Kluyveromyces lactis: one gene and its partner. The protein of the gene in region 1 interacts with the protein of each later gene in a pairwise test. Links are inferred from orthologs where the notes say so. Each region holds a gene or a part of one and is shown on either strand. Other genes may lie near its edges.

Evidence for each region.
Region 2: the proteins of URB2 (region 1) and RSA3 interact in binary tests that used the Saccharomyces cerevisiae proteins (3 or more experiments, as listed by UniProt). The link is inferred for Kluyveromyces lactis from reciprocal best matches to the Saccharomyces cerevisiae genes URB2 and RSA3.

The regions. Positions count from the first base shown.
Region 1 is NC_006041.1:2,001,154-2,018,308, forward strand, and holds URB2 (ribosome biogenesis protein URB2), read left to right. Parts: upstream 1-2,649; coding exon 2,650-6,084; downstream 6,085-17,155. Other genes in the region: NUP85 (Nup85p), read right to left, coding at 1-2,025; GEF1 (Gef1p), read right to left, coding at 6,134-8,404; RNA binding protein SNU13, read left to right, coding at 9,009-9,389; putative E3 ubiquitin-protein ligase HUL4, read left to right, coding at 9,847-12,267; ubiquinol--cytochrome-c reductase catalytic subunit RIP1, read left to right, coding at 13,019-13,660; KLLA0_E22595g (uncharacterized protein), read right to left, coding at 14,785-16,815; DNA-dependent ATPase RAD26, read right to left, coding at 17,095-17,155.
Region 2 is NC_006042.1:1,218,467-1,234,094, reverse strand, and holds RSA3 (Rsa3p), read right to left. Parts: upstream 7,134-15,628; coding exon 6,522-7,133; downstream 1-6,521. Other genes in the region: MSC3 (Msc3p), read left to right, coding at 518-2,476; HTA1 (histone H2A), read right to left, coding at 2,959-3,351; HTB1 (histone H2B), read left to right, coding at 4,078-4,476; CCC1 (Ccc1p), read left to right, coding at 5,356-6,267; U3 snoRNA-associated protein UTP13, read right to left, coding at 7,473-9,917; KLLA0_F13222g (uncharacterized protein), read right to left, coding at 10,462-13,416; KLLA0_F13200g (survival factor 1 family protein), read right to left, coding at 14,169-15,461. UniProt on the Saccharomyces cerevisiae protein: Required for efficient biogenesis of the 60S ribosomal subunit.

The DNA of each region.
Region 1 (17,155 bases):
TTTTTCCAAAGTCTTCAGTATTGTAAAAATCTGTGATTCATCTAAAGCTGTCTCTGTTGTCTTTAAAAACATTGGGTAGAAGAATTTGGCCAGCAATAAAATACAATATTGCTCTGGCATGTATGGGAAACTAATCAATTGAATCATATGGTTCATCGCTTTCTCCGTTTCATTATTTTCGGCAAGTTTGTGGAATTCATACAAAACAGCATATGGAGATAGAGTCTGTCTCATTACGTCAGTTACCATACTGTTTAGCAAATCTTTCGGAATATTGAAAGAGTCTGTATCCCCATTGACAATAGAATTTATAGTAATATCATCCAATGGCCCCCCTTGTAGGATACTGGCTTCAAAGATCATCCATGAATAATGTTTGACCCACTCATATTCTCCAGCTTTACTAAAATTGCTCATTGCTTCCACAATATTATTCTGGTATAGTGTATCCTGTCCCAAGATCTTATAAATAGTCTTAGCCACATCCGGCAACCTCCACTTAGCGCATACCGAAAGAAGCCATTCAATATCATCATTTGTAGTATATGGAAAGTGTGGTAATAGTTCTGCTAAGATTGCTCTTTTAGAAGAGTCACCTGAATCTGAAGATAAAGAAATTAATCCCACTGAAACTGGCCACAGCGTTTTATCATCATACGAGCATAAAGAAAGAGCAACTTGGCGAATTAAAAATTCTCCAATGGTTGGTTCATTTTCAAATGCAAGTTCTGAGTTCAATCCACTTTTATGAGCAAAAATTTCGTAGAAGTCAGTTTTTATAATTCCTTTAGCTTCGCACAATACCGCTACAAAAGCAGCAGTTGCAAGGTCTAAGGATTCAAGAATCGGTAACACATCAGCAACTTTGTCATTGATAATGTGATAACACGGCGTTTCCCAGTTATTGCAAACATCGATGGCATTATGTTTAGTAGCTAATTGTCCATATTCTTGACTCAATTCCAAAGTTGGTATATAGTACAACATCAATCCACAGTACGATTCGTACCAATACTGTGAGAATTCACAGATTTTATTTTTAGAACCACTTAAAATCATGAAGATGTTCATCAAATTCTTCTTGATTTCAGGTTCAACCTCTTGTTCATCCCAATTTGTCATTAATTGGAGTACGCTATTCTTCCATTCACGGAATAAATTTTCAGAATGAAGTGGGTAACTCTCAATGATTGTAATCAAATCAGTGACAAATACTCCCACTGTTTCATTTCCATGTTCCAGCAGTTGAGAATTTTGAATGCATTGGATACTCTGAGACCATAAGCCTCTCAAAAGAAGCTGTGCCGTTAGGTCCCAAAAATCAGATTGTTCATAGACTTTTCTTCGCGTCAGAAGGGTTTCATCAAAGATCTTTTGAATAACCAGCTCACTTGGTTCACCATCTGATCTGTTCACCCAATTGATCAAAGACTCTAGAAGGTCCTCTTGTTTGTATTCCGGAGAGTCAGTTAAAAAGTAAATTGTCTTCAAGCAATTTAGTATGCTCAAACATTCCTCAAGATCTCCAATTCGTTGCAGCTTATTCGTGTATTTGATGGATTCAATGTAGAACTCTAGTTCTGTAACCAAGGCATGAAATGCTAAATTAACTATCGAGAAGTGTTCGAGTCTTGAAGTTTGTTTTATTAGCCCTATGGTCGGTACATCGTTCTTGCGATGTTCTCCTAATCCCTGATACAACTCAAAAAGTTTTGATACATATTGGGCAAATTCTTTAGATTCATCTAAATGTAGAAATCTTACAGGATATAGTTTATTATCTTTCGTAGAGTTATCAAAAGCAAGGCTTCGGGACGAAACGTTGTTGTATTTGAAGCGTAATTCTTTGGCCGAGGGTTGCTCAATAGGGAAGTTCACCATTGGTGCATTGCTGACAGGGTCAACATTGATTGTTAGATTAATATCATCATCACTTTCATTGCTGATACCTTCTTCGTCCAAAAAGTCTAGGTTATCGACATCCATTAATAGGTCCTGTGTGTCGGCGAATTCATCGTTAGCCATTGTTACTGCTATGATTCTTTGGTGAAAACACGCGATTAAACCGCAAATTTCAGTTTAACTCAAGGTTTCAAAAAAGAAAATTATATTAACAGTCAGTACAAATCCCAATCCAGCGATTGAACGTAACTCCTTTAATGATTTGGAGCGTAATTGGTCTCTATATTCTCATTTTCTCTCAATGTTTACTGATTGCAATATTCAAAATATATCCTAAAAGTGATATATACGAATCTCTTAGAAAAATTTGATGCTTGTTACACCCGTACACCACATATGAAATTCCATCTATCCTTCTTGAACTTCCAACATTTATCTACTGAACCAGCGAGTATAGCTATGGGTTGCCCCTCTAAATGATAAATTTATATGCCGGTAGATCAGCATGTGCCAAAAAGCGCATCAGAGATCTCCAAGTGCTCCTTAAATCATCTTTCTTTATACTTTTTCTTCCGTAATGAACTGCGTATAATTTCTTATTGTCAAATTTTACTGAACATCAATTTTCAAACATTAAAAGTAGCGATGAGATGAGATGAGATGAGATGAGGTAAAACGAGATCACCTAGCAGATTACATATCGATATAGCAGCTCTGAACGACGTTCGTAAGGGTGAGAAAATCAAAATGTCCTTTCCCAATACTGCAGAAGGTATCACTCGGTATCTCAGATCGAAGAACGTCACTACACAAGAGATTTATGACATTTCGGTTTCCGTACTAGATGGGAAATACGATATATACTTTCCAAATGGCCATATCTTTATATTAGAATTGATCATTGACAGATGGAATGATGCTAAACAGGCACAGTTCAGAAAGGACACCAACATTTGGAAGTTATGGAAACAGCTATGGGTTATGGTTTCGTCTGAGAATCATAAGAAAAAATTATTGAGGAATCTAAGATCAGTAAATTTAATTCAACTAACATTTGAAGAGATGCAGGACGGTGACCATGAGCTTTGTGAGCATGTATATGAGGTACTGAAATCTGTTAATTCTTGTATGATTACCGCAGTCTCTCCGGAAGCAGGTCTTAAGCTTTTAGGTAGAGTCATAGATATCGTACTTTCCTGTGACTTTGGTCGTGAGAACTTCCTGAAGCAAGCAATAATTTCAGAAATTTTGACATTTACTGATTTGAACAACTTTACGGAAGTATCTAATAAAGTTTCTGGTGTGTACTGCTCTGAACTGTTGCTACCGAGTTTGAAATACTTCAAGCAGGCTGACGAAGAGGTGTTTGACAACATCTTTGACGTATTATCTGAGTTTACAAAAAGGTATTTATTTGAATTCACAAGGGATTTGCCTGCAGCGTTGAAAACTTTTGTAGGTTTGCATAAAAGTTCCCTCTCCCCAGATTTATTGGTTTTGCTTTTCACAAAGTGCATTACAACAGGTAAATGCGATGCCGCTACTCTGGAAACCATTTTAAAAATGTTGTTAGATATTGATGTCACAATATGCGCAGATTTGTTGGCTACACTCAATGCCTACAGAAAGATTATTTCACAGACGTTTTTAGAGTCATTATTCACTTCCGTATTTGAGTCCAGAGATTGGAAAATAATTAAGAGCATTATCGAAATGGACATTGAAATTGGTATCTTGAAGACGGAAGAATTAATGAATGCTATGGACGCTTCGACCACTAATTTTGAGCTAGAAATTTGGACTTCAATTATCAATTGTCATGTCAATGCCAGAGAATTTACAAATCTTTTGACTATCTGGAGAGAATATTGTAGGAAAAACACCACTTCATTATTCTTGACTGATTCGAAAATGACTAAGGTCCTTTCCGATAATGTTCCTGCATTATCTGTAACACAGACTCGTGCAATCATTACAGATTTAGTAGATGTTATTGCTTCTGAGAATGATATTTTTTCAGTGAATATTTTACAAGTTATAGTTTCTGGATTGAAAATGCTCTCTTATGCGCAGTGCTTGGAATTTCGGATTTATCTTTCAAAACTTTTTGAAATAGAGGGTTTTAATGCTCCAGTATTTTGGCAACTCAAATATCACGTTCTTGAACTATATGATGATCTTCCTATCGCTGTGAAGTTCAATCCTGACGACGCATCAGGTCTCATCAATCTTGGAAAAAAATACCATAGTAGTGAACTATTTTTCGCCTTATTCAAGTTCTACGAGCTCCAGCCATTTGAAAATTTACCTGTTATTGAAGCTTTTATGAATTTTATTGGTAATCTGGACTCAGCAGAGTTATCAAATATTCTACAGACCCTTTTAACGCGTTGGTCAACTCTCGTCGATTCATCATTCGGAAATAAGAACATATCACACCTGATCGAAAAACTACTTCAAAATCACATCGATATTTTGCCTGTGCTATTCGCTGAAGAGGATTTTTTTGAAGAGTCTAACATTGTTCGTTCGATAGTGGTTCACTTGACAGCCGATGTTAATTCTAACCTTCATCTGAAGTATTTATTGGAAATTCCAATTCAATGTTTGAATAAGGCTGTAAGATTGGCAATCCTAGACCAAATAATAGAGAAGGATGTTTTGAAAGAGGATGACATAAATGTTCTTTGTCATGTTTTGAAAAACCCTACCTCGAGGAGCAAAATAGAAACCGATTATAAAACAATGCTCACGTTTGTCGGCAATTCATTCTTCAAATATAGCTTGGAAAATCCGGTTATTGCAGCCGTTTGGCAGAGTGCACTGCTTCAAAGAAACGACAACAAAGCATCTTCATCCATGGATTCTCTATTACAAAGCATTCAGGCAAATTTGAATCATACCTTTGATTATAACACTTATGCCTTGTTGCATCTGGTACTCAAAACATGCGATGAATCAGGGTTGCATTTAGATGCTCTTAAGGTTAAGTTCATCAATAGTTTGATTTACAATATTCAGCATTTCAACGGAGATTTCAAATTACTTGCATGGCTGCTCAAGGTTTTGTTCATTCAAGCAAGTAACTCTAAAACAACAATTCCTGTTCCACCGTTATTTTCGAAGGCATCCGCCATTCCTTCTGACATTGAAGTTCAATCGGCATATTTTATGGTATCAACACTAAATTACAATGATAATATTGAATATCTTCTAGCGCAGTATCTTATCTTAAGAGAAAATGGAGTGTCTAAAGAGATGTTATTACAGGCAATAAAATTGAACATATCCAAGAGAATTATTAATAACGATGAAGACTTCAATACAGCATTCGAAACGATCTGCAATACTATGCCTGTACTATCAACAAGCAACTCCGGAGCAGTATTGGAGCTGCTACAGTTATTCATCCACTTTGTTTCAAAACAGAATAGTAGTGGAAGGCATATTTTTGTCAAATCAATTTCACACCTTTTAACAAACTACTCTACTAGCATTATAGACAGAAAAGATATTATATCTTTCATTACCTTTCTGAATGATCTGCTGGTGGCCAAACCGTTTTTATTCACACAGTACTGTTCAGAAATGCTTTTCCCACTAACATCCAAGATTCTTTTGGATAACATAATCAAAGCAGCTGATACACCCGATCAGAGAGAGATCAAAAATAAGATTCCATACTCTAAAAATGACCTGATTTTTTCCTGCACACATATGCTCTCTTCATTGCTATTATTTCATCGTTATAAGTTATCCAATCGTACTCATTTGATCAACATTGTTATCTGCCAATTACTGGAGTTACTATCAGATGCTAAGCAATACGCTCTATCGGTTGAATCAGCGAAAGCAGTATCAAGATTCATATGTAACTATTGTGAGCCTGCAAATGTGAGAAGCAGTAAGCAGACGACATTGTCCTCGGCTGTTTCTAATGTTAAAAGATCGCTAAGAAAGAATCTGCCAGTTGTTCTTCTACAATTCATCAAATTATCAGTTTCAAAACCATATCCCACCACGATAAAGAAAGAGTTGATGCTCGCAGTATACGCTATTTTTGATCTTCTGTCGCAGACTGAAATGAACTTGCTTAATGCTAGCTTGGACAGTAACGGCAGATCATATTTCAAGACATTACATGCGGACTACAAGAAAAGTGGCAAATGGCATGATGATTGAAAAGTGGCAAATGGCATGATGATTGAAAAGTCCTAATCATTTTATAAAGTTATGTTCTTCTACATTTATCTATATACCATTCAATTAGTCGTATTGCCTTCCTATCAATTCTATCATCAAACGCATATAGAGGACCAAAGTATTCTTTATGTTTAATTCTCATGAAATGCAAGACATCTTTCTTAGTGACTAATCCGGCCATGGTTCCGCCATTCTCTACTATAATAGTTGAGCAGCCCAATTTCTGGAACATCATGAAAAGTATACTCAACGGAGTAGACGGACTAACAGTAATCGGGGTATAATTGATTTTTGATGTTAACGATTCATCTCCACATTTTCTGAAATCAATGATATCGTCGGGAGATCCAGTAGTGGCATCTAAGAAATAGCGAGCGTACTTTGTTAATATAAAGCCAGAGCATGTCGAATCACCTTTGGAACAGCTGCTGGTGATCGGAAGACCGCTAAATTCGGCTGCTGGTCCATCTATCAAATTTTGCAGATCTTGACGAGTCATTTTTTCATTCACGTAGACTAGTTCTTTCGTCATGATGTCATCTGCATAAAAGTCATCCATGAATTCGTGATCCCCTTTCTGCTCTTCCATCAATGGGAATCCATTAACTATAATCATTTGGTCAGCAATTCCTCCCTCGGCACCAAAGGAGGAACAGATAATTCTAGTGAAAGCAACAACTACCATGGTAGGAAGAATATACGTAAATGCACCCGTGACCTCAAACATGATCACCACCACTGTTAGAGTTAGATTTGTTATACCACTTAATGCTGCAGTTGCACCAAGGAAAGCATAAGTTCCCGGTGTAATGACATTTGGTCCAGTAATATAACGCTCTACTATTAAACTTACAGCCCTTCCAAAAGTTGCACCAACAGCCATTGAGGGAACAAAAATTCCGGCAGGTACTCTACAGCCGTACGAAGCAACGATTAGCAGGGCTCGCACTACAGTTGCAAAGAGTAACGAAAGCAATAAATTGATGAACGAGATGAATGAGGCCTCGTTGTCAATTGTACAAAGTCTATGCGACCATAATGATCCTTTCTCATTAGTTTGACACTCATGAAATAAAATTTCCATAGATTCTGTCATGTCAAGTTTCAAGAACTCGTTGAAATAAGAGATAATGGCAGTAACAAACGTTAGTATGACAACTTCCTGTAACGGCCATCTTGAGAGATATTTCTTTCTAAAAGAAACGTAATGCACATTCCATCTGCTTATGTATTTGCCATATAAACCACCAAAAATTCCAAGAAGGATGAATATTGGGATTTCTTCCACATGCCATTCTCTATCATAGGTGACTTCAAAAACAACGATCTTACCATTTCTAGATGGATCAATATATTGTAGAGCAGAAATACCTGCCAGAGCAATATAATACGACTTCCACAAGGCAGATAACTTGAAAGGAATAGAAGCTGACATCTCTTCAAGTGCAAATAAGACACCTCCAATAGGTGCACCAAAAGCTACTGCAACACCACCTGCCGTCGAAGCTGTCAAGTATTCGGATTGTTCTGGGAAGGCCATCTCCTTGCTCAAGAGCCAATTAGTAATTACATAACCACAACAGGTAGCATAGTGAACAGATGGTCCCTCTTTACCAACACTTAAATCAGAAGAAATGGCAAGCGGTAAAGCGACAGATTTTACTATAAGGGTCTTCAAATTCAAAAACTCCGGGGTATATTGGAAACCTGATACCCAGGATTTAATTTCTGAAATACCAGATCCAGTGGCAAACGGTGCAATGTGTAGGACCATCAGACAACTAATAGTTGCAAATGTGACCGATAAGAACATGAATAGCAAAAATGAAAAGATTGGATTGGTTGCTTCTACCCAAATACCTTTTTCGATACATTCGCTTTGGGATCTTTTAAAGAATATTTCTGCGGCATTGCCAGCCGAACTTATTATGGAACCATAACTCCTTTTACTGATCTCTTCTTTAGGACAGCAGAATGCCTTGTTTAACAACCAATTTCTAGCACAATGTCCAGATTTCCAGTTTACTAACAATTCAGTGAATATTTGTAAAAAACCAGCAATACCGCCAATGGAAAGCCCAATGGCAGTCAAAGTAATGAAACTGCTACCTCTTTTCCATATTAACCTGCGGTACTCATACCAACTCGAACGCGGTATATCAAATTCGTCATGCGATGTTCCCTTGGACAATTCACGCTTCTCTTCCTCAATCCAATCCACAGAAGTGAACTTATCGAAATTACCGACTTCTGGTATATTTCGCAGAGCCTGCTCCTCATTTACCTCTTGGTCAGTCATAGCTAGCTATTGCTCATCAATTGGGTCATACCTAAGTCAAGGGCAATACTATGAGTTTATTCATAAATGAGTTGATAAATTTACATATTGTAATACGTACATTTTTCAATACAAAGAAATATGCACCTTTGAAATTAGGTAAAGAACTGAGAGTGAAAGCAGCTCTTCCTGGGGAAGTATGAAGCATACGATGGGGAACAACAACTACAGACTGCGTGTTTTAGACCATAATAGAGTACTATAGCAATGGCGGAGAATGGCCAAATGATCACAATAGGAGGAATGTATATCGTTCTTCTGAATTAATATAGTGAAACAGCCGTACATTACACCAGTTTGTGATCCCATTTGTTTCTTTTTGCTCATCAGTCGAGGAATTCGAAAATTTTCAAAAATTGAAAAACTAAAGAAAATGATTTCAAGAGACTAACCTCATCTCATCTCGTTCCATCTCATCTCACTTTATGATAAAACTTTTTTTAGACTTGGACTTGATCCGATCTTATTTCTAGTCTTAAAACACCAGATTCAAGCGAGCTTTTCATTCTTGCAAGGAACTTGAACTGACCCAATCGGATACTTCACTTCATATTATAAAGAAATAATGTCTGCTCCAAACCCAAAGGCTTTCCCATTGGCTGATGCCACCTTGTCCCAACAAATCTTGGATGTTGTTCAACAAGCTTCCAACATGAGACAATTGAAGAAGGGTGCTAACGAAGCTACCAAGACTTTGAACCGTGGTATTTCCGAATTCATTATCATGGCTGCTGACTGTGAACCTATTGAAATCTTGTTGCACTTGCCATTGTTGTGTGAAGATAAGAACGTTCCATACGTCTTTGTTCCATCCAGAACTGCTTTGGGTAGAGCTTGTGGTGTTTCCAGACCAGTTATTGCTGCTTCTATTACCACTAACGATGCTTCTGCTATCAAAAGCCAAATCTATGCCGTTAAGGACAAGATTGAAACTTTGTTGATTTAAGAAGGATTTGCACATTTCGTGATTTCCTTTTCTTATTCTTTATATCAATCGTTTAAGGAGTTAACCGCTTTGTGGGGGGTTTGCATAGCAAAGAAAAGATTTACTGCACGTTCATTGATTCAAGTGATCGACAGGTAGATTTTTTTTTTACGACCTCTGTATATTAAACATATATATTACAATTAATACAACTTTTTGATACATTTGCATCCTTCTTAACAATGACATCAACATCTGATGGTTCTAGTTAGTGGTCAGTACATAGTTTTTTTTTGTCTGTTCAAATTAAGAAATGGTTACAGGCCTGTGTATTCCAGATGATATTGTCAGTTGGTAAAAAAAAGTAATAAATTTGACACAATCTTTTGTGCTTTCGACTATCCAACCCTAAATTTACAAGTTTGTTGAAATGAACTTAGAGGAAGAAGTCTGACTGTCCATCAGTAGCTGCTCGAATATGTTCAAGTTTAACCCATTACACATTGTTGGTAGGGAAAAGATAAAAATCCGCTATCAAAGTTCGGATAGGTTGGATTGTGAAGACCCGCCAAAATTTAGGGAAACTCGATGTAGATGTTGCGGAACCTTGTTACGACATCCTATAGACGCAGTTAAGTTCAAATGTACAATATGTGAGGTGACTGTTGTTTTGAGACAAACAGCAAATTCTAGGGATACTGAGGGCAAGATACTGCCGGACCTTGAACAGTTATCCAATATAGTTGGTCAATGTCTCGAATCGTATAAGAAAGATCAGACAGGAGATGAGACCCCCGCTAAAGAGCTTAACAGCTACTTCATTCCTGTGGAAAAATACATTGTTCAAAAATTCGGTACAGCGGAAGCTTTGAATCAATTATTCAAACCAACTGTTAAAGATCAAATTATAAACTACGAAAAAGCAGTGACATTTTATAATTTGATAGGCTCATTGCCTACCAAAAGACCCATTTATCTCATTTTACGTGTCTTTAATGAGGTTTTGAAAAGGCCAAAGATCCTAATGGATAAATGGGAGCACTATTTATTCATTTTTTTCATCTTGGAGGTACCTTCTTTAAGGCAATGTATTAACAACAGTACTACAATTTCTAGAACACCCAAGATTAAGACTTTAAGTTACGAAATATTAAAAAGATGTATTGGTTACTTGGGGTCAATGAATAGTAAAGTTTCGGTGAAATATAAGAATCACTTAGTTCGTTTACATCCATTGAAATTTCAAAAGCAATGGGAAATTTTAAACTTGTATTTGAGTTATCAGTTCCAGAAAATAGGACCCGGTCCGCCGCATTCACCACGAGGATTATCAGGAACGTTGTTAACTGAATCATCGCCTGTGGATGAAACCAAAGATGGAACTGTATCTTATCTTTTCCACCCCGGAAGGCAAAAGATACCGTTAGAGAGCAGGTTCAGAATTGAAAAATACGGACTTGACTGGCATATTCGCACGGTGTGTCAGCTAATGAACATATACTTTCAAGCTCATTGTGAACAGCCAAAATGTGACATCTCGGTTTTTTACAATATGATAATTGATTTCATTGATTACAAACGTGATTTTATGATGTGGCATAAGATGAATAGAGAGCAATGGAGGACCCTTGACGATTTATCCATGACACAGTTACATGAAACGCACTATACTGCCTTATGCCAGTACCCTTTTTTGATGTCCTTAGGCGTTAAGATAGCCATAATGGAGTTCGAAACTGGGAAAATGATGGAACATAACGCTGAGCAAGCGTTCTTAAAGGCGTTGGACTCTCGTAAACTTTACGATGTACATTTCCGAATAAAGGTAAGACGAAGCCATGTGACACAGGATTCGCTAACGTCCATTCAACGACATCCACATGATTTGAAAAAATCCCTAAGAGTGGAGTTCTCGAATGAGCCTGGAATCGATGCTGGCGGTTTAAAGAAAGAATGGTTCCTTTTATTGACTAGGGAATTGTTTCATCCAAACCATGGACTATTTCAATACGTGGAAGAAAGCCGATTATCTTGGTTTGCATATGGGAACACCGGTCTTAAGCTTCATGGAGAGAACAACAATGAACTATACTATTTGTTTGGAGTAGTGTTAGGTCTTGCAATATATAACAGTACTATATTGGACTTACATTTTGCGAGGGCCATGTACAAGAAACTATGCAATGAGCGGATCACTTTTGAAGATTATGAGGAGTTGTACCCTGAGACAGCAAGAAATTTAAAGAAAATGTTGAGTTATTCGGAACTAGATTTTAGTGATATATTTGGATTGTCGTTTGAGACCACGTATTACGATGTAGCCAGTGGTATCAACGTCACGAAACCGTTATGTGACGGAGGAGAATCAATCCCAGTAACCTCGGAGAATAAGACAGAGTTTGTTGAAAGGTGGGTAAATTTTTATATGAATGAGGGGGTCTCATCGAGTTTTAGTGCATTCCAATCCGGGTTTACAAGAGTCATCGGGGATGGTTTGGCTTTCCCGATGTTCAAAAGTTGTGAAGTAGAAAGGCTCATCTGTGGCAGCATAGAACAAGACATGGATTTCGAACAACTTCGCGCTGTGACGAAATACCAAGGCGGATTCCATAACCAAACCCCGGTAGTGGAATGGCTATGGGAAATACTACCACAATTATCCCATGAACAGCAACGTCAATTTCTCCATTTCGTGACTGGGAGTGACAGAGTTCCAGTGACGGGACTTGCGACGCTTCCGTTCAAGGTAACCCGCACAACGTCCGGATCACATGATCAGTTGCCCACTGCCCATACCTGTTTCAACGAACTCTGCTTGTACGAATATGAGTCACGTGATACTCTTCTTCTGCGATTGGTGACTGCCCTCGAAATGTATGAGGGTTATGGGTTTAAATAATGTCAGCAACAAACATACATTAATATAATCACTACAAACGAACCAATCATATCGTGAACCAGGCTTTACAGAAAAACCTGCTTCCCTTGAATAACCAGAAAACACAAGGAAATGGACACTTACAGCTACTATGTGAAAGCCGTTAAATGCGAAGCGTTTTACTGACACTAGGCCCAAAGGCCCTAGTGTCAGTTATCATTTCCACCAAGAAAATCTTCCTATACTTGACCATTTACGCAAATAAAATTGTATACTTGTAAATTGGAAAATAATAACCACACCAGGAAGTTCTGCCTCGTCCCAGCTCATTTACACTGTCCATTCCTGTCTGGTCGAATTATATCTTGTTTAATCCTTTAGCGCTTCTTACTATTGGCTTTTTTCCCAATCTGAAATTTTTCTTTGTTTTTTTTTTTTTTGCTTCCTTCCGCACTTATTAAGCTGCAATGGCTTCTGTTTAATATGGATAGAGATAATTTGATAATTTCTCTGAATAAAATAAAATAGAAAAAGATTTAGTACAATCATTTTATTATTACTTTCAGTTCCAACAACATTTTTGCATTGATATATATATTTTATAATCTGGCTTGGTGATTCATATCTGTGTATATATTTATTGATACTCCGAGAGTGCTTTGCTGTTGTGATTAAAGTCGATATCATAGAAACGATTTCTCCGAAATAAGAACGGGAAATTAGTACGAATAATACACTCTAGCGATATATCCATAACTAACTAATATCAAAAATGTTGGGTTTAAGAAACGGTTTGAAGACTGGTTTGAAGTCTGTTGCTCCAGCCAGATTAATTTCTACTTCTGCAGTTGCTGCCAAGTCTACTTACAGAACTCCAGATTTCGGAGACTATATCAAGGAGAATAACGATGCTGACAAAGGTCGTTCTTATGCTTACTTTATGGTTGGTTCTTTAGGTTTGTTGTCCTCTGCCGGTGCCAAATCCACCGTTGAAACTTTCATCGCTTCTATGTCTGCATCTGCAGATGTTTTGGCTATGGCTAAGGTCGAAGTCAACTTGGCTGCTATTCCAGAAGGTAAAAATGTCGTTGTGAAATGGCAAGGTAAGCCAGTTTTCATCAGACACAGAACCGACCATGAGATTCAAGAAGCTAACAGTGTTGATATGTCAGCTTTGAAGGATCCTCAAACTGATTCTGACAGAGTTCAAAAGCCAGAATGGTTAGTCATGTTGGGTATCTGTACTCATTTGGGTTGTGTTCCTATCGGTGAATCTGGTGATTTCGGTGGTTGGTTCTGTCCATGTCACGGTTCCCATTACGATATCTCCGGTAGAATCAGAAAGGGTCCAGCTCCATTGAACTTGGAAATCCCTCAATATGAATTCGATGGTGAAAACTTGATTGTCGGTTAAGCGCAGAAGGAAAGCTAAAAAAAGATTATATTATGTTGATAAATTGTTGAAATAGGCTACCTTTTTTTGCTATTTCTCAAATTTAACTCTCTTCCTTTTTCTCTTTCTCTTTGTCCTTCTCACTCCAGCTTTCACTAATAAAATTCTTTATTCCCATGTTGATGTCTCCTACTCCCCCCATGTATTTTCCAAGTAGGATTCACAACCAAGGTCAATATCTTTTATGCTAAAGTTTGTCATATTGGAATCGTGTAAGCTCGTTTTTTCACGTTCCATCATCACTACCCGATTTATTATTATTTATTCATACAAACATTTTTGAAACCACAACTACCCGTGCCCCCATAGCTCAAGCAAACTAAAAGGATAGCAAGCATGAAATGCTTTTGAAGCATTGTTCAATTGTATGTCATCACTTTTCCTTTTAACTGCACTGAGAAACAATCGCATTAATACCTGAATGACCACATCAGGCTACTACCGTGATTGAAACCCTTTTATTATATTCCAAAATCTTTGAAATAGTCCTGCTCTACCCGATGCATGGTTATACCTACAATCTGAATCGCTTAATGTTGTATCGCCTTCTTTTCCATAAAAGGTCAGACACGTATTTAAAGAAAAGCGGGAGTATTGGATTAATCTGTCAATAGTAACTTTAACCTTTGATTTCCCTTTTTCAACGAGATTTAGGCCTAGGAACAATGCATTGGTATTGCAATGGGATGTCATTATTTCGCTTTTAATTTGCCTATTTTCCCGCTAATCACGAGAAAAATAAATTCAATTAATCAATCCTATACTCTTAAGATGTCTCAAAAACTGTTAACCCAAACCATAAAAACCTAAAAAAATCTCTTCCAACCAAAATATTTTACCATAAGAATAGAGAAATTGACGAACAATTAATTTAAATTGAGATTACCTTTCTCTCTAGGGATTCAAATTTTTTATCATATTAAGGTTTGTTTCCTGTTATTTATATACTCTGTTAACGATGCCAAGATTATATATTATATGTATATGTATATTCCCCACATACTCTTTTAAAAGAAATGAACAAATTTAATCCATTTGAACGCCGAAAATTGGGAACCCTTGAAAAATCCAGTGCTGTTTGTAGACTAAAGTTCTGGGTTAGCTTCTAACAAGCTTTCAAGATCATCTGGAATTCGCTGCCAATTTTCTCGATCCCATTCGGTTAGCATATCACACATCTCTTTTCTTATTTTGTTGATATCCCTTTTCTGACAATTGCACCCGTCATTGACACTATCAGGAGGCAGCAATGGTTCTGAATCAAGTCCAGGGTATGATATCAAAGATGAAGTCAACGAAGATCTGACCATAACTTTCTTCTTCGTTTCACCGTTCTTCCTCTTTGGAAGGGATATCTTTTCATGCTGCTCAATTAAATCTACGCAATAATCTGGCAAATTCTTCGGTTTGTAATCGTTGACAAGCTTTATCCTCCAGTAAACTGACCAATGAAGTTCGCCATATTCAGGTATATTCCGTCTTCTACCAAAATTTGGCACGTAAACGTTTTTCCATTCACACTTTTCGTTTTCGATTCTTATTCCTATTGGAATCAATTCAGCAATCCACCAAAAAATCACCCTAAAGATACTCACATTTCCACTTCCATCATTTTTTTTTTGACGACCGATGTCCTTCCCTGGTTCATCAGTATCAAAACCTTGCTCAAGATCAGAACAACTAGATGGTGATTCCGTTTTCCAGTTAAACGTTCTGAAGTAAACGTTCTCTGTTTTATGACGCCACGGTAACCAACTTCTCTTTGATGGCAGTTTGAAGCCGTGGTATCTATTAATTTGATCTTCATCATATTCATTAGTCTCTTTTTTGTGAAATGGGTTTTTCATAGTAAGATTGCTCTTTTTGAAACTCAAAAGATCGTGCGATGCTGACAATAAGCTTCCAGCAGATGTATATTTGCCAGCAAATTCATGGATGATTCCTTTTTTAAAAAGTACTCCGGATTTGATCGCTTCTGAGAGAATCCATCTTAGAGACATATCACTTAAAAAATGATTTTTCTCAGTGATATCCGGTGGCCAACTCCCACCAATATCTGAGTGATCGCCTGGAAACCACTTCTCTATTAGATCCGATGATGTCCTTTTACTATCAAAAGTACCATGGGGAGAGTCCACCTCGAATATACCTTCAACTCTCTGGTTCACGAAATTATCTGTTCTTTGGGAATGTTCCAGCTCTAGGAAATTGTTGATTCGGGATATTAGTTCTTGTACGGACTTACTAGATTGTGATTGTGATGAATTAGGTCTTGAGCCAATGGTATGATTTATAAATTGGTTACTGGTACTGTGATAGTTTGTTTTCGGGGCAACATTCTCATATTCTATGACATAATTTCTATAGTTCAACGAAAATAAATTTGGTCTATAAGGATTAGGGGAAAACGACTGTTGTTTGAACTTCCCTCTTCTTTCGTCAATGCTAACCGCATGTCTGATGTGACGAACGATGCCGCTCCTAGCTGTATAGGGAAAGAGCCGATCTAAAAGTATACCACAAGAATTCACCGAATCAAAGAGGCCTTGAAAATGTATTTCGATCTCAATATTTCTTGAAAACGTTTTCTTAAATTCATCCACCAAAGTAGTCGCATAACTCGGTTGTACGGGCTGTGCAGCGTATTCCCAGGCTTCATATATTTTCCAAGCCATCCATATCATTTCATCTAGTCCAACGTTTAGAAGTCCAACCATTTCCAGCATTCCAGCTAGTACCCTTGCTATGAACGCACCTCTGCTGAACCCGAACATAAATATTTTGTCTCCGGGTTCGTAGTGGTGCATTAAATACAGGTAAGCAGTCATAATATGATGATCCAAACTGTAGGCAACAGCAGAATCAATAGCCGTCTTCAATTTCTTCCAAGTAACCAAACCACCAAAACCAGCTTGTGCATCATACTCCAACGAACTACCGATGCCTGGTTGGTAATAACAAATCTGCCTTTCATAATCAGAGCCATCAAGCATCCGATAAAGCTTCAATACATTGCTGAAGGGGTTGGGGCCGAAAGTATTATCCGTTCCATCAAAACAAAGTATTATATTTTTACTGGTGGTACTCTGACCAGTGCCCAAAGAGGATGATGCCATTGAATTTCTAAGAAAAGCATAGAAGAGCTATGCTATTTTTTTTGGCACTTTTTTCGGCTTGATGTCTCGAAATACTAGGTTTATATACAGAAGCTGCTCGAGCTGGTGTATCGAGCGCCACATATTACATCCAATGCTGTATGATCTTTTGTGTCAGTGGCATCAAAAAGAAAAAAAATATCTTTCGTTACCCGCATTTGTGACAGAAATTTCACTCAATCTGAATGAGGAAGCCAGCATAGATAGAAGAGAATTCAAGGGTGCTACAAAGGTAAATGTTTAATCGGTATCTCTATTAGCTGATTTAAGTACCCAAACTTTCTTTAACTTATCAAATACT
Region 2 (15,628 bases), on another chromosome or scaffold:
GTGATTTGGTCTGTGTCACGTGGTTTATAAATAATCACGTGACTGTATACATACATATATATCTTGTGTGCGTTCATATTCCGAACGGACCAAAACATCGTACCCTTACCTGGTAAACTTGTCCATCGTAAACCTGTCTGAATGTCCTTTGCAACAGACTGCTATTTTGAATCAGGTCCCATATTGCGTCTACTCCTTTCTGTCTCGAAGCAAACACCCTGGTTTCCTTGCTTTCTTGTACAGCCGTTTCTAACCGTTTCTCGATATAAATTCGCAGAGATAGCAAATTTCGATTGTTCCATAAGTGAAAAATGGAACATAAATCACAGAATAATAATAAAGGATGCATTGATATAAACAAAGAAGCATGTATATAAATACGGACATATATATAATATACCTTTAAATAGCGAAATTTGAGGAAGCTTAATTATACCCTTTTCGCTGCTCGGCTTATATCACTATTCTTCTCTGGTCAAAGTGCTATACTGAACAGTATACATCGAAATCCTCAACAATGGTATTTGGTATGAATTTAGGAAACAGGAGAAAAGCCACTAGGGTTCCAGACTTATCCAGGTATGACTATCATTACAATGGTAGCGGTGGTAATTCTGTAAATCAGGGTGATAATTACCTTAAGAGCCACGAGCTTTCTGCAGATGCGGCCTTTGCTGCTAGTGCAAGGGCTGGATCCCTGGTGAATTATCCAGAAAGAGGCTATACAAATATATCAAGAGCTAACAGTCTCCGGATGGGTCATCCTGGACAGCAGCAACAGCAATCGTCTTATATTCCTAGAAGTTACAGTTTTACTGCTCGTGGAGCATACGCTCCTCGAACCGGTAATGTCGGGAATAGAAGGTCTGTTTCTGCCATACCACGAACAGGTACAGCTTCCAGTCGTGGTGTTGGCAGTAGAACTGGTTCTATGACTGGTTCAGTAGCCAGGGTTGGTTCAAGGACCGGTTCATTTGCTGGAGGTGGTAACGGATCTATTATCATCAAGACACAAGAGGTTAAAGATATGATGGGCAGAACGCAATCGATCACGACGCAGACTATAAGAAGGATCAACGGGATGGAATACGTGGAAACTACCACGCAAACTGCTGGGCTGGTTGAAGACCCTCAGTTTCATTTCCAGCAGTTTGCTGAAAATGATGAGTTCCCAATCTCCGATGAGCTGTCCGCCACTCCTCCTGCTGCTCCGTTATCCGAATCGCAACCACGGACAAACCAGAGATTGGCCAATTTCAACTCGAATGCTATAAATAACTCAGCTGCGAATAACATCAGAAGTGATTCGGAAGAGGAAGGGGAAGAGCACTTCACTGACGCATCAGATGTCGTTGAAGAATCAGGTGCATTTGCGGAAGATGATCAGGACCATTTCCTGGCAAAAGTGAATAAAGTTGATGTTGATAACAATTCAAAATCATACACTTCAAGAAAACCCCTGGTCCAGAAACAGGGGGTGCAGCAGCAGCAAGAAGTTCAACATCAAGGTATATCGCAGGTTCAGAACACAGAAGCGAAATCAGTTGGAAGGAAAAGTACAATGTCCAAGAGGATGACTTTGAGAGATACTCCCAATGCACAACTTGAACCAGAAAAGGATACTACGGATCAAGCTACACCGGACAATAACGCCACGAAAAGAAAATCCATATTCAAAAGTAAGAAACGGAATGAAGCAGTTGCCGTCCCTACTGTTCCTACATCTGATCAGAAGACACTAAGCCAAGAGGAGATGTATGCTATAGCATTGGAGATTGCTCAACAGAAATATGGTCATCCTACAAAAACAGTTTCGCATAGTACAGACAATGGATCTAGAAACGAAATGACACCGATACTTGAAGATGCAGATGTCGAGCAACCACATGTGCTCCCGACCACACTGCACTTGCCCACGCGTGAGGAACAAATTCAACACGAACAATTGCAACAACCTACTGCGGCGATTCCAACAAATGAAAAGAGCCGACATCCAAAGAAAAAAGTCAAGAGTATACTCGATAGGGTTGTCCAGTTCAGCCAAGAGAACTCTGGTAATCAACCACCAAAACAACACCGTGGAAAACAATATTCTCAACAACCACCGGACGTCGCTCCGTCCAATGGAACAACTGACAATTTTGACACTAATGCCAGTGGTCATAATATTAATCACAATAACAATAATCACAATAACAATAATAACACAAGTTCTTCTTCTTCGCTTCGACACGAATCCGGGGCGAACCCCGTTGTCGTCACTGAGGATACCACGGTGCTAGCAGCTAGCACTGCTGCTACTCCTGTCGATGTAAACGAACCAGGCAATCCCGATCACGTGATCCCAGCCTCGTCCCCCTCCATCGATAACACCCCACGTATCAATGAGAAGACGAAAAGCAAGAAGAAGAACGAGAAAGGTTCGTTCTTCAAAAGGTTATTTAAATCTAATAAGACTCATATCAACACTAAATAGTTATACCGTTAATAGTAATTAATTTTTCTTTTCTACTCTCTTCTTGATCTAAAACAACTTTGTCCAAATTAATCTAAAATACATTCAAGGGAATATTCAATGTTAAAAGACAGGAAAAGGACAATAATGTGTCAAAATCAACAACACAGACAGAATTGAAAGTCATTGAAAGAAAGTAATCTAACCCGAAATTCATGACGATTAAAGATATACCTCATAACGTAGGATGAAGTAGTTTATATATATATTTAAAATATAGTACAAATAAAAAATAACTATCCCATACAAAGAGATGAAACAGAGAATCCCCCCATTTCTCCTTGTTTGATAAAGTAATTTGTGTGTTTAAAATGATGCCAATGCCAACTCAGAATAAACATAAGAAAGATATATTAGTGACAGACCCGATGAATTTTGTTTTCATATTAAAATAAAATTTGTATGCATTCCATTCTTTTTTTTCCCCCCTTTGCTCAGGCTTATTATAATTCTTGAGAAGCCTTAGCCTTGGAAGATTTCTTTGGCAACAAGTTTTGGTGAATGTTTGGCAAGACACCACCTTGAGCGATGGTCACGTTACCCAACAATTTGTTCAATTCGTCATCGTTTCTGATAGCCAATTGCAAATGTCTTGGGATGATTCTGGTCTTCTTGTTGTCTCTAGCAGCGTTACCGGCCAATTCCAAGATTTCAGCGGCCAAATATTCCAAAACGGCAGTCAAATAGACTGGAGCACCAGAACCGATTCTTTGAGCGTAGTTACCCTTTCTCAACAATCTGTGAACTCTACCGACTGGGAAAGTCAAACCTGCCTTAGCAGATCTAGATTGAGAAGCCTTAGCAGCAGAACCAGCTTTACCACCTTTACCTGACATTTTTTATATTGTATTATAGTGTTTGATTTGTGTGTTGTTTTTGATTTAGTAGTATCTGTGATGATGAACAACAAACAATACGAAGAGCTAAACTAGGAACAGAAGAGGAACTGAAAGTGCAAGAAGTGACCTCTTTATATAAGAAACGGTGGCACGGTAGTGCCACTGTGTCACTGAGCAAAGCACACGCTCACACAACAAAAGTAAAAAAAGAAAAAGCGGCAGCGAAAACAAACCCCCTGTTCTCACAGCTTCACCTGTGCCGTGAAACTCCTGGAATGTTAATATATTGTCTCTTGAGATGTCGAGGAACCATTTTTTCAAACAATCAACGGATTCCCTTTTACTATGGACTCCCGTGGTTGTTTCCGAAAAAGGAAACTTTTTCGTAGACCGTGCTACCGGTTACGCGCGGAGAATATCTCCATCCGCCATAGTAAACCGGTTTACCACAGCGAAGCTGTGGTCATGACATGCCTTTTTAGCGTGAAAAACAAAAAAAACAAGTACCAAAGACACAATTTAAGGAAGGCAAATCGCTTTTACTATGGCGAAGAACCAAATTGTATATAAAGAGACTGACTAAATGGATACTTTTACCCTTTCTCCTTATAGATTATCCGTTTCTATTAGAAATATATATGGTTCTGTAATTCACCCTCGACAAGCACTAGTTATTTGAAAACCAGTACTATCACATTACTAAAAACAAATATTACAACTATAATGTCTGCTAAAGCATCCAAGGCCCCAGCATCCAAGGCTCCAGCTGAAAAGAAGCCAGCTGCTAAGAAGACTTCCTCTTCTACCGATCCATCTAAGAAGAGAACTAAGGCTAGAAAGGAAACTTACTCCTCTTACATCTACAAGGTTTTGAAGCAAACCCATCCAGACACTGGTATTTCCCAAAAGTCTATGTCCATCTTGAACTCTTTCGTTAACGATATCTTTGAAAGAATCGCTACTGAATCTTCCAAGTTGGCTGCTTACAACAAGAAATCTACTATTTCTGCTAGAGAAATCCAAACAGCTGTCAGATTGATCTTGCCAGGTGAATTGGCCAAGCACGCTGTTTCTGAAGGTACCAGAGCTGTTACCAAGTACTCTTCTTCTACTCAAGCTTAAACGGTAGGCGAGTTGTCATTATCATTATCATCATCATCATCCTGCAAAGGATCCATATGTAAATTAAAATCTTATCTGGGTATAACGTGTGTAATATAATTTTTTTTCTTCACAAATAGGCCATTCGGGCATCTGTTGATCAATGTATTAGAGCAATACCAAGATGTCGAAGACATCTTGGTATTGTTGTTACATATATGACAAACCACGTGACTTTCTGTCACGTGCTTCCCATCCCCACGTGACACTAAATTTTCTTCTTTTTTTCCTCTGCCGTCCAATGAAATCGCCGTGCGTAATGCTGACGTTACCAGCCACACAGAAACACAGGTTTTCAAAGGCACGGGAAACCGTGGGACTACTCACCGTTATATAACGGATTTCAAATTGATTTGGAATTTAAACTTTTACTACTATGCCCCAGCGGCGCTATTTGCCAAGCCGTAATCTTTTTCATTTTTTTCCCAATTCATTGTAAATATATATATATTACTATACAAAGTTTATATAAAGCTTGTACGTTTTATTCACTTTTTTATAAGCACTTCTTCGCAGTTTTCTGTATTTAGTTTTTAGAGAAACAATATTGGAACAAGTGTCAGACACATTGCTTGAGCTGTTGGTTGGTTTTTGTTTGCACTCGCAGTATCTATTTGAATTCTCATAGACGTTTTTCAAAGAAAATAAAGTTGAGGTGATTTTTTGAGAAGTGAAACCAAGGGAACAAACCTGGAATAAGTGGGGAACAAAACACAAGAACGGTTTTATTTGTAGATATTGGTTTATCAGCAGTACTGCTCTGCTATACAATTTTAACTATTTGGTAAAAATAAGACCAGAATAACAATATATTATAACATATTCAGAAACTAGAACTACATGTCCGTGGTTGCAATTAAAAACGCTGTGTCAAAACTCGTAGCGAAAAATCAGGAAGTTCCATTACTATCATCCGATAGTTCTAATTCCAATTCGAATTCTACCACTAATTTGAATAGTCATCGATACTCGGCTTCACCACAGGATGGCGATATAGAATCCTCAAAGCATACAGGTGGGTTTGACGATTATGACAATGAGGATGATGGTACGTCTGGATTGTTCGGTAAGATTGATCCAAGAGTTATGTCCGATATGATTATCGGACTCAGTGATGGTTTGACGGTTCCTTTCGCGTTGACCGCAGGTCTTTCCTCGTTGGGAGATTCCAAGTTGGTGATTACAGGTGGGTTCGCGGAATTGATCTCTGGTGCTATATCTATGGGTCTTGGTGGTTATTTGGGTGCTAAATCTGAAAGTGATTACTATAAATCGGAGGTGTCGCAAGAAAAAAGGAAATTTTATAGCAATACTCAGCTAATAAACCATGAAATTGAAGATATACTAATGGAAATGAACCCAGAATTCTCGGAAAATACAGTGATATCGTTTGTGAAAGATATGCAACGAGACCCAGAACTTATGGTGGATTTCATTATCAAATACGGAAGAGGTTTAGATGAACCCGATGATAATAGACAATGGATTAGTGCACTAACGATCGGAGGAGGATACTTTGCCGGTGGGTTCGTCCCGTTAATACCATATTTCTTTGTTGAAACGGTGGGAACCGGTCTCCTGATCTCTATTGCATTAATGACTTTCACGTTGTTCTGGTTCGGATATTTCAAATCCCAAGTCTCAATGAACGATTGTACCCTGCAGAAAAAGTTACTGGAAGGCTTACAAATGATAGCAGTCGGTGGGACTGCTGCAGGTGCAGCTTGGTTCTTCGTTAAGGTCATCGAATGAGAGTCACAAATAAAACAAAATTAATTAATCATAATCATCCTCATCATCTCTTATTTATTTTACTTCTTCTTTTAAGCGTTCCCTAGTATCACGTACTTTTTTTTTTATCATTCCAATACGTATTCATATCTTACTCCAAATCATCAATTTGCCGTCCAGACTTTATTTGATTCATTCTAGCTGTATCGTGATAGATGGTTTGTATTTTTATTTTATTATACATGTGTTTTTAAAATGCTAGATAGATCCAAACACTATTTATCCTCTACTATTGTCTTCAAGGTCTCCAAATCAAACATATCTCCTCCGTCTTTTAGAACATTCGCTAGCATGACAAGGGTCTTCGAAGTGAAATCTGGTGCGTTTCTCAATTCGTTCATGTCATCACCATAACTCTCAAATAGCATACTCAAATATTGATTCTTTAATCCGTTCTTGTCCTTATTATTCTCTAGCAATTTATTGCTGCTTTCATCTAACGTAGCAGACATCTTATTCAAATCGATATTCCCTAGATGAATGCCATTGTTGCCAGTTAAATCGCTTGTTGTTAGTCCCACTTTATTTAATTTGTCCACAGTCTCCGAGGACAAGACGCTTCCCTCTTTTCGGCTGGCTTTTTTATCGTCCAATGCAGCTTCATCTTCTTCTTTATCCATGTCAATATCTGAAAGCGTTACATCTTCAACATCAGATGCAGCTTTCTCCACAGTTTCGAGCTTAGTATCATTATCTTCTACCGATGAATTTTCAGAATCGGAGCTGGAATCAGAACTTGAGTCGGACACGTCTTGCGTTCTTCTCTTCTTTCTTCTGTTCTTCCTCTTGTTCGTCTTGCTAATAGCTGCAATATGTCCCTCTGACATGATAGTTTCCGATAGAGCTTCTCGTTAATATGGAGGAGAGTTAACTTTAAAGTATAACTGTCAAAAATTCACAGTTGAAGTCACCTTTTAACAGAAGAAGGATGAGAGCCGATCTCATCTCATCTCATCTCATCGCTTCACATCGTCTAGTTATTTGATGAAGTTTCTTTTGCAGGGAAACAAATTCTGTCTAAAACTCAAAGCCGGGTAACAAACTTATTATTCTACTGATGGATGGCCCTTGACTGGATATGGTATCTATTCAGAGTTGATGCGGTGGGTGTGTTGTACTGTTATATGTATATATCTACATGACGACTAGTGCTATATTTACATTCTTTATAGCAATTTGTCCATTTGAACTAAAGCGTAATCTAAGATATAACTTTCTTGAACCAAGTTATCCATTCTTGAGTAATGTCTCTCTGCGTATGAGATTATTGATTCAACGATCCTTACAAGCCCAGGAATTTCGCTCAACTCTTCAATATTTTGTCTTAGAAGAATACACCTTATCATCTTTTGGGCTACTGTGTGTGTTCTTGCATTTGTATTCCAATCTCTGCACCTTTTCACTAAAAGAAGAAGTTGATCTTTATCTAGAGTCGACACAACCTCGTCAATTTCGTTGTTGAAAACTACATTTGGATCCTCATTTGAGTTGTCTACACTTTGTCTTAAGACGTTGTACAATCTCATTGGGTGATCCAAGGTCATGGCAAGCAAAAATGCGTTAGTCCAGTCACCTTCTGAGAGATAATTTTGTAATGATTGTTCTTGTTCAATCTTCAGTTTCTCTTGCTCGAGGTTACGTTCGTGTTCCTCTTCACTGTTATCCCTCCAGAACTCAAAGAAGCCGTCAGCATCTGCTGTAACGAAGGATTCACCATCGTTCATAACAGCAAGAGCCCAGATACGGTTATTGTGAGCATCTAGTGTCTTGACCGATTCACCAGTTGATAGATCCCAAATAATAACTAAACCATCAGCACCAGTACTTATCAGTTGCTTGTTCTTGTTTATGAAGGAACATCTTTGAACTGCATTGGTATGTCCTTCCAAAGTTTTTACGACGGCATATGATTCTAAGGACCAAATTTTGATGGTCTTGTCACCGGAACATGTGGCCAATAACTTGTCATATTGACAGAATGCAACGTCCCATAGACCACGTTTGTGGTTTGCTAATGTGGCTTGGAATTCACCATCATCCAAATTCCATATTTTACATGTCTTATCGTATGAAGCCGTGGCAAATAGAGAATCATTAGGTGAAATGGAGATAGCATTGATATCCTTTTCATGCGCCCTTCTGGTATATTCTGAGGTCTTAACAAGTATTAGATCTTCGGGTTCATCAGATGTCACCTTAGGAACCTTCCATTTCTTTATGGTCAAATCGTTAGAAGCTGTAATTATGAATTCAGGCCATGAACGTGGCATAACATTAGGAAGTCCAACAGCATTCACAGAACCTACATGACCGACAAATTTAGTGTATGGATAAAAGTCTTCGTACTTTGCATGATATCTCCATAATATAACGCTGTGATCCTTGGATGCTGTAGCAACCCAGAGACCATCAGCGGTGGCATCCAAAGAGTTGAGTAGATCCGTATGACCCTCGTACATCTTTACTTCAATAGGAAATGTTTCTTTGTTCTCCCCATTTTCGAACTCTTCCTCCGAAGAAGTTGGGGTTGGAATTATTCTAAGAGTAGGAGAGTTAGTAGCTAATGCTAATTTATCCCGTTTTGGACCAACGAATCTTATATCTGCAATGGTACCATGATTACCTGCAATCTTATTTTCCACTTCAATTACTTCAGATTCCGATTGTAAAGCTGATTCAACATCTATTAGGAACAAAGTTTGATCTGAAAATACCAAGTACTGCTTAGTTCCGTTCAGGATACATAGTGTACCAATAATAAATAGCTCTTCAATAGGTTTTGCTGTTTTCTTTAATACTCTTCCTGTTGACAAGGACACTAATTGGTAAATGGCACCACCACCGGCTGAGTAAACCACATCCGGGTCCTGCGTAAATCCACACGATTCCACCTGTTCTATGACAGGGATGGTCTTCAGTAGCTTATACTTTTTCGTCGAATTAAACTCGAAGAGATTTAAGATATTGTCTCTACCACCAGATAATAACTGCAGCGTTCCCTTTTCTTCATCAGTGACACGGAAATCTAGCCCTCTAACAGCTGTAGTATGTTCCTGAATAGTGCATTGACAATTACGTTTAACTAAATCCCAGACTTTAATCATACCGTTGGTATCACCAGATGCAAGCTTCCAAATTTCACTGTTCAACTCACCGTGAAACTTTACACTTGAAATGGTAGCACCATGTCCTTTCAAAGAGTGCGTGACATATCCATTTTCAATATCAATAACACTAACACTACCATCAGTACCACCTATAGCCAAAAGTGTAGATGTTTGATCGCAATTCATGACGTACACCGGTGACGAAATCTTCATTGATCTGATAATTCTTTCTTGTTTCAAAGAATACACTCTGAGCAACTGCGCTTGTGAGACAAAACACAAATAAGAACCATCTGGAGTTAAATGCAATGCGGTGATGTCTTGTTCATCCTCAGTATCAACAGAATGCAACACTCGGCGTGGGCTATCTAAGCTAACAATGTTGATTTTATCGACGACCGAAGTCGCTAATAATCGTCCATCTTCAGAAACAGATGCTATAGCACCAGTACCAGCATAAAACGGCTCTAGTTTCGTGGATGCATAGGTAGTTCTCAAATCCATTGTGCGAGTGGGAGATCCAAGGTGCTGTCCTGGGTGCTAATAATTGGCCAGGTATAATCTTATTGGTTCACCTAGCATATTTCTGTGATGCGATGAGATGAGATGAGATGAATTAAACTTTTCAACATTCGAATTGAACAAAAAAAAGAAAAAAACGTAGACAATGAGGCATGGGTTATCATATGCTTGAAACAGAAAGAGATTGAACATATACAAAGGAGCTGAAAACCGGGAACGGTCTTTAGACAATGTTTATTTGCACTTACACATATTTGCTAAATATTTGCTAATATTCTAATGGATATGATTTTAAAGTTAATTGTTGATTTATGAGAGAAGTACAACACTCCTCTTACGGAAAAAATGGTGAAGCTGAATAGAGCTTCACAGAATGATATCTATGTAGATTATATCCAAGAAAGTGTAGTAGGTAGAATACAGATAATTGTAGTTTATGGTTATGCTTTAGTCGAGTAGTTTCGCATCAGCAGCAGTGGTAAAACCAAGGAATAAAAAATAAAATCAAAGGAAGTGAAAATGAGGGTTAACTTGGGAGTTCTGTTGATCCTCCGATGATTTCCTCCAGATCAGCTAGCGCCGTCTCACTGAAAAGTCCATTCTTGGTTACTCTCATATGTTCAGCAGCAGCTTCGGCGATACTGTTTCTTCTTCTCCATGCGGCAACATGGCTCATTTGTTCATGGTTAAAATCAATTTCTTCAATCGGGGCAGTCAGAGAAACCAGGAGATCTGCATCGTCACTGCCTAATAGATCAATATCTCCATCTTCATCTCCATGATGAGAAAGTATTAAATCATCATCAGATTTCAGCAGTTGATCAATTTCATCCATTCCTAATCCCTTCACAGAATTCTTCCTCGTTGGTAAAACCAGACCGTTGAAATCATTAGGTGTGTTTCCAGCATCTGCATCGGTGAAAACACTTGAACTTGGACTAGCCAAATTCACGCTAGAGGGAGTTTGAATGTTGTTGTGAGAATCTGCGTTGGGTTCAGTTTCAGTTTCTTGTTCAGGAGCAGTGAGCAATTTTTGCTTTTCAATTCTTTGCCTTTCCCTTCTGATTTTCAAGAGCTTCTTTTTCTTCTTTATCTTCCGTCGCTTTTCATCTTTCTTTCTTTGGTATTCCTTCATCTTATCGATCTTCCTTCTAGTCCTTTCACTACCAACGTAACCAATTGGGAACTTGCGTGCTGAAAACACAGGAAGCATGTATTCGTCTTCTTGATGTTCGAAGTTGATGCCTTTATTTCTGAAAGCAGATAATGGAACAGATGGTTTGTGATACCAGGTGGCAATCTCTTTATTCTTAGAATTCGAGTCAGCGCCATCTTCATTGTTTTCATCTTCAAGCTCACTCATATTCAACAATTCGTTAAGGGTTAGTTCCTCTTTTTCGCCTCCTGATCCGATACCATTATGTGATGAAACGTCTTCGACTTCAATTCTTGGATCTAAAATTTGTTGAACTGGCGGAATAGCAGGATACAAAGATTTAGTGGAAAGGCCATCAATGATACTAAAGGGCTTGTTATCTGTCTGCCAAGTTCCAAGTTTCGGAGGCTTCAAACCAACAACGTTGGCACTAACGACTTCTTTTGCCTTAGTCCCAATTTTGCGTCTTGTATTTGGAGGTGGTAAAGTGTCATCTTCATCAGTGGATTCGTCATCTACAAAGATGACACCTTCCACATGGTCATCTGGAGTGTCAGGATAGCTCTTAGCTTCTCCAGCTTCCTCATCTGATAACGAATCGTAATGAAAGTAGAAGCCATCTGGATCGAGATCATCAATATCAATGAAAACGTTGGTGACACTCATATCGTCATCATCTTCTTCAAAGTCATCTTCACCATCTGAGTTTTCGACTTCGTCTAGCTCCAAGCCATTTTCATCCTCTTCATCTGTAGGGAGGTGGGCGATATCTAATAGAATATCTTCGTACTCTTCATCTCCAGATGAAAGCTCTTTATCAGATACTGCCACGGTACTGAGCCTACGCAAAGGAGATTCAAGGTCATTGGTAACTTTAGGTTTCTCGTCATCGCTTTGGAAAAATAACCCAAATACGTACTCATCTTCTGCAAGATCTGGAGTAGCAGAATGTTCACGTTTAGACTTCTTGGAAGTCATTCTTCTTTTCAACCTCTCCTGCCTTTCCCGCTGTTTTAATTGCTTACGCTCTTCCCTCTTACGCTTCTCTTCGCTTAACACTAACGGTAAAGATGTGCTTAAAGTTAAGGGTTGGTCGCTGCCATCATAGTAATACAGATTGGAAAACTTGGGATCTTCATAAAAGGGCATATCGAAATCACTCATGATTGCATCATCTTCATCGTCCTCGTCGTATTCGTAATCATCGTCGTCATTTCTGGGTTTCCCATCTCTATACTTTGATTCCACCTGCGAATCATCGAAAGAAGAATGATCATCACGTTCAAGCTGTTTAACCATATTCTGTTCTTCAACATCCAGAATAGCCATATCGTCATCACCAGTCTCAAGGCCGTTATCTATACCGGTAATATTTTCGTTATCATCATCAATGGTCTTGAAATATGCCTCTTGATCGATATTATAATCTGAATCCTCACTATCTGAAAATTTCGGTACCGCCAATCTATCGACATTTGGTTTAATGGAATCTAAAGGTTGTTTCACATCTTTATCCTTGACTTCCTCACCTAAATCTTCATCAGCCTTCTTGGAGGCTACTGAAGCATCACCGAACTTGATCCCATCGTCGCCTTTGAAATTGAATGACAGTTCAGGAGCATCTGATAGTTCAGAGCTTGAAATGTCCTCATCATTCGAATCCGAAGCTTCACGATTCTGCTGAGCCCTATTAGGAAATCCACCCTGTTTACTATTACCTTTATTGTTGCTGTTACTGACGACAGTTTCTGCAGGTGTCTTGCCCCTCTTCAAAGCGTTCAGCTGTTTCATTGCGTTTTTCTTACGTTCCGCAGTAAGTCTCACAAAATCCACGTCATCGTCTGAACTAGTACTCGAACTGTCGCTATCATCATCGTCATCATCGTCATCGTCATCATCATCATCATCATCATCATCATCATCATCGTCATCATCTACTGCCATTGTACCTCCTTCATCCTCCGAGAGAGACTGGTAGTCTGAAGACGCTGTAGCACTGTCCGAACCTGATGTGATGGCTGAGTCCTGATTCGTTGATATCAGCTTTCCGTTCTTACCCATCGCATTCGAAGATCGACCTTTTAGCTTAGTTCCGGCTTTGGGATTCTTATATAACGGTAACTTGGACAAATTCGAGCCCCTGCTGTTCGAATCCTGTGGTATATCACTCAGCGACGAATCACTAGAATATATTAGACTGAAACGTCTCGGTCTAGAACTTAAATGCGGAGGCTTATCCTTCTTATTTCCCATTTTATCCTGTAACGCTTTCAGAGTCGTAGGCTTCTTCCCACTAGTTAACTTCCTCGGGCTTTTACCTGACATAATATATATGTGTTATCAGTTGCAATTAGCAGCTGCAATAATGGTATTCTACTCTTTAGTGGACTTTTCTATATGCACCTGGATCAAATCAATAGGCTCAACAATTTAATAAAAAGAAAACCAAAAGAAAAAAAAAATTTCTAGGTTATAAAACGTTTTATCCAGTTCAACACAATCTTTAATAACTAGCTAATCAACAGTAAGTGTCCTGGGATCACACACAATTCAAATCTTTATTCCTTATTCCTTATCCTTTCTCTTCGCAGATAAACGACTAGTAGAATGAAACCAAAAAAAAAAAAACCGAAGAGCAGGGAAATCTATTCCTGAATATTCCTGATCTTACTGCACTTCTAACCTAGATACGTAAAATTTTCCACTATCTTTACAGCCAGCGTTGGTAGGAGAAACTCTGATTTGATCAAAGACAGAGACAAAGACAGAAACAAGGTTATTCTCTGCTTTTTTTACACACTATTTTATTCTAGTCCCAATTTCTTGAGATGAGCTCTAAGTTTACTTTTTATTTCTCTGTTTTCCTATGAAAATTGGTTGAGAAGATAATGAGGAAAAAAATTTCTTTTGTTGTACCGGGTAATGTTCTGCTGTGTTTGAAGATTGCCAAGATACGTAATTTGACGTTTGACGTTTGACGTTTGACTCTTGGATATGGGAGATCAGATGTCTGGGATTAATGACGACTCGCATCTATTCACTCTGTTAATCATTTTTTAAATTTATCTGAATTGGATCTATGGACTTATAAATGTTGTTTCTACAAGTGATATTGCACGTTCGTCATCTACCTCGGTTCTTTGACAGAACTGATATAGATATGGGTTGATTCCTTCCACCTTTTCCACAATGCCTTTCAATACCGTGGGCATCTCTTGTAATATATCGTACACATTGATTAGATTTAAGGGCCCCAATAGTAACGTGGGGCATAGTTCACCGTCTTTTTTGGGTAACGGAATCTCTACGATGTTTGGATACTCTACTCCGGTCTTGGGATCCAGTGTTAGCCCAAAATGTTTCACATGCTTATGTTTATCCTGTATACCGCAATATATGCGCTGTGATGAGGTTATCTTGTTTGTGTCCGACGATATGGTCACTGTTTGTTCACCGTATTCTTTTGGCGTTGTAAACTCCATACATAAAATTGTCCGTCTAGGTGACATGAAAGCAGCGAAATTCCACGATTTGGCAGCGCTGTTAGGTTTAAGGCCTTGCAATGCAGTGATGAGGACCATAGGTACTGAGTGAAATTTTATCTTTTTCGAGTTCACCACTATATGCCCTGATCCAGTACAATTCGGAGCAAATACATGTCTGATACACCTGTCGACGTTTGGGTTGCCCCTCATGGGAACTCTCGAGAAGAAACTCCTACCATCGGGTTTGATCTTGAATCCCTTGCCTATATTCACATCTAAACTGATGGACAACTCTTCCGTTTGACCTTCGACACTTAATGTGCCTATCCTTGATTCATTCGGAACCGCTTCAGCTCCTTGATAAAAATTGCGTGAGCGTTGTTTCTTTCCAACAGTATCTTCGTCCCAACTGGGGTCACATTGTTTCCGAAATATGAACCGCATGTTCTGATTGCTGACTTCTAACGGGGTGAAAACAGATGGCTTCTTTAATTTGACGTTCTTCCAATAATCGATATACTCACTAGCATTATCACTCCCAGAGTCATTAGTACGGTCCTTGTCTACATTAAACACCTTGATGTTCATTTCAAATGACTTGTAGAACCCTCCTAGGACACTGCTGTTTAAGAATTGGATAAATCCACAGTATCCACTATCTTGATCACAAAAATATAACGTTTGAGTTTCGATCTTGGTAGCACTACCCTTTTTTATAAGTTGAGAACTGCTTTTTGTTATACCACTTTTCGCAAGTGCATTCCCAAGTGCGCTATCATGGTTCGCATGAGGATACGTTTGCCAACTGAATCCATCAACGTCATTGATCTCATCATAGATTTCTTCACCTCCAGCGACACTACCAACAGGTTGAAAATATCCCATTCCTTAGCTTATCGAACCGAATTGCTGTAATCCGTTCTCAAATCTCGTTGTTGCAGTACTCCCTTAGGTACCTGCCATTGGATATGTTATTCTTCTAAAAGGCTTTACACTGAAAAAAAAAAACCATCCTGAAATGCCACAGAATACTTATATAGGTTCTGTCAACT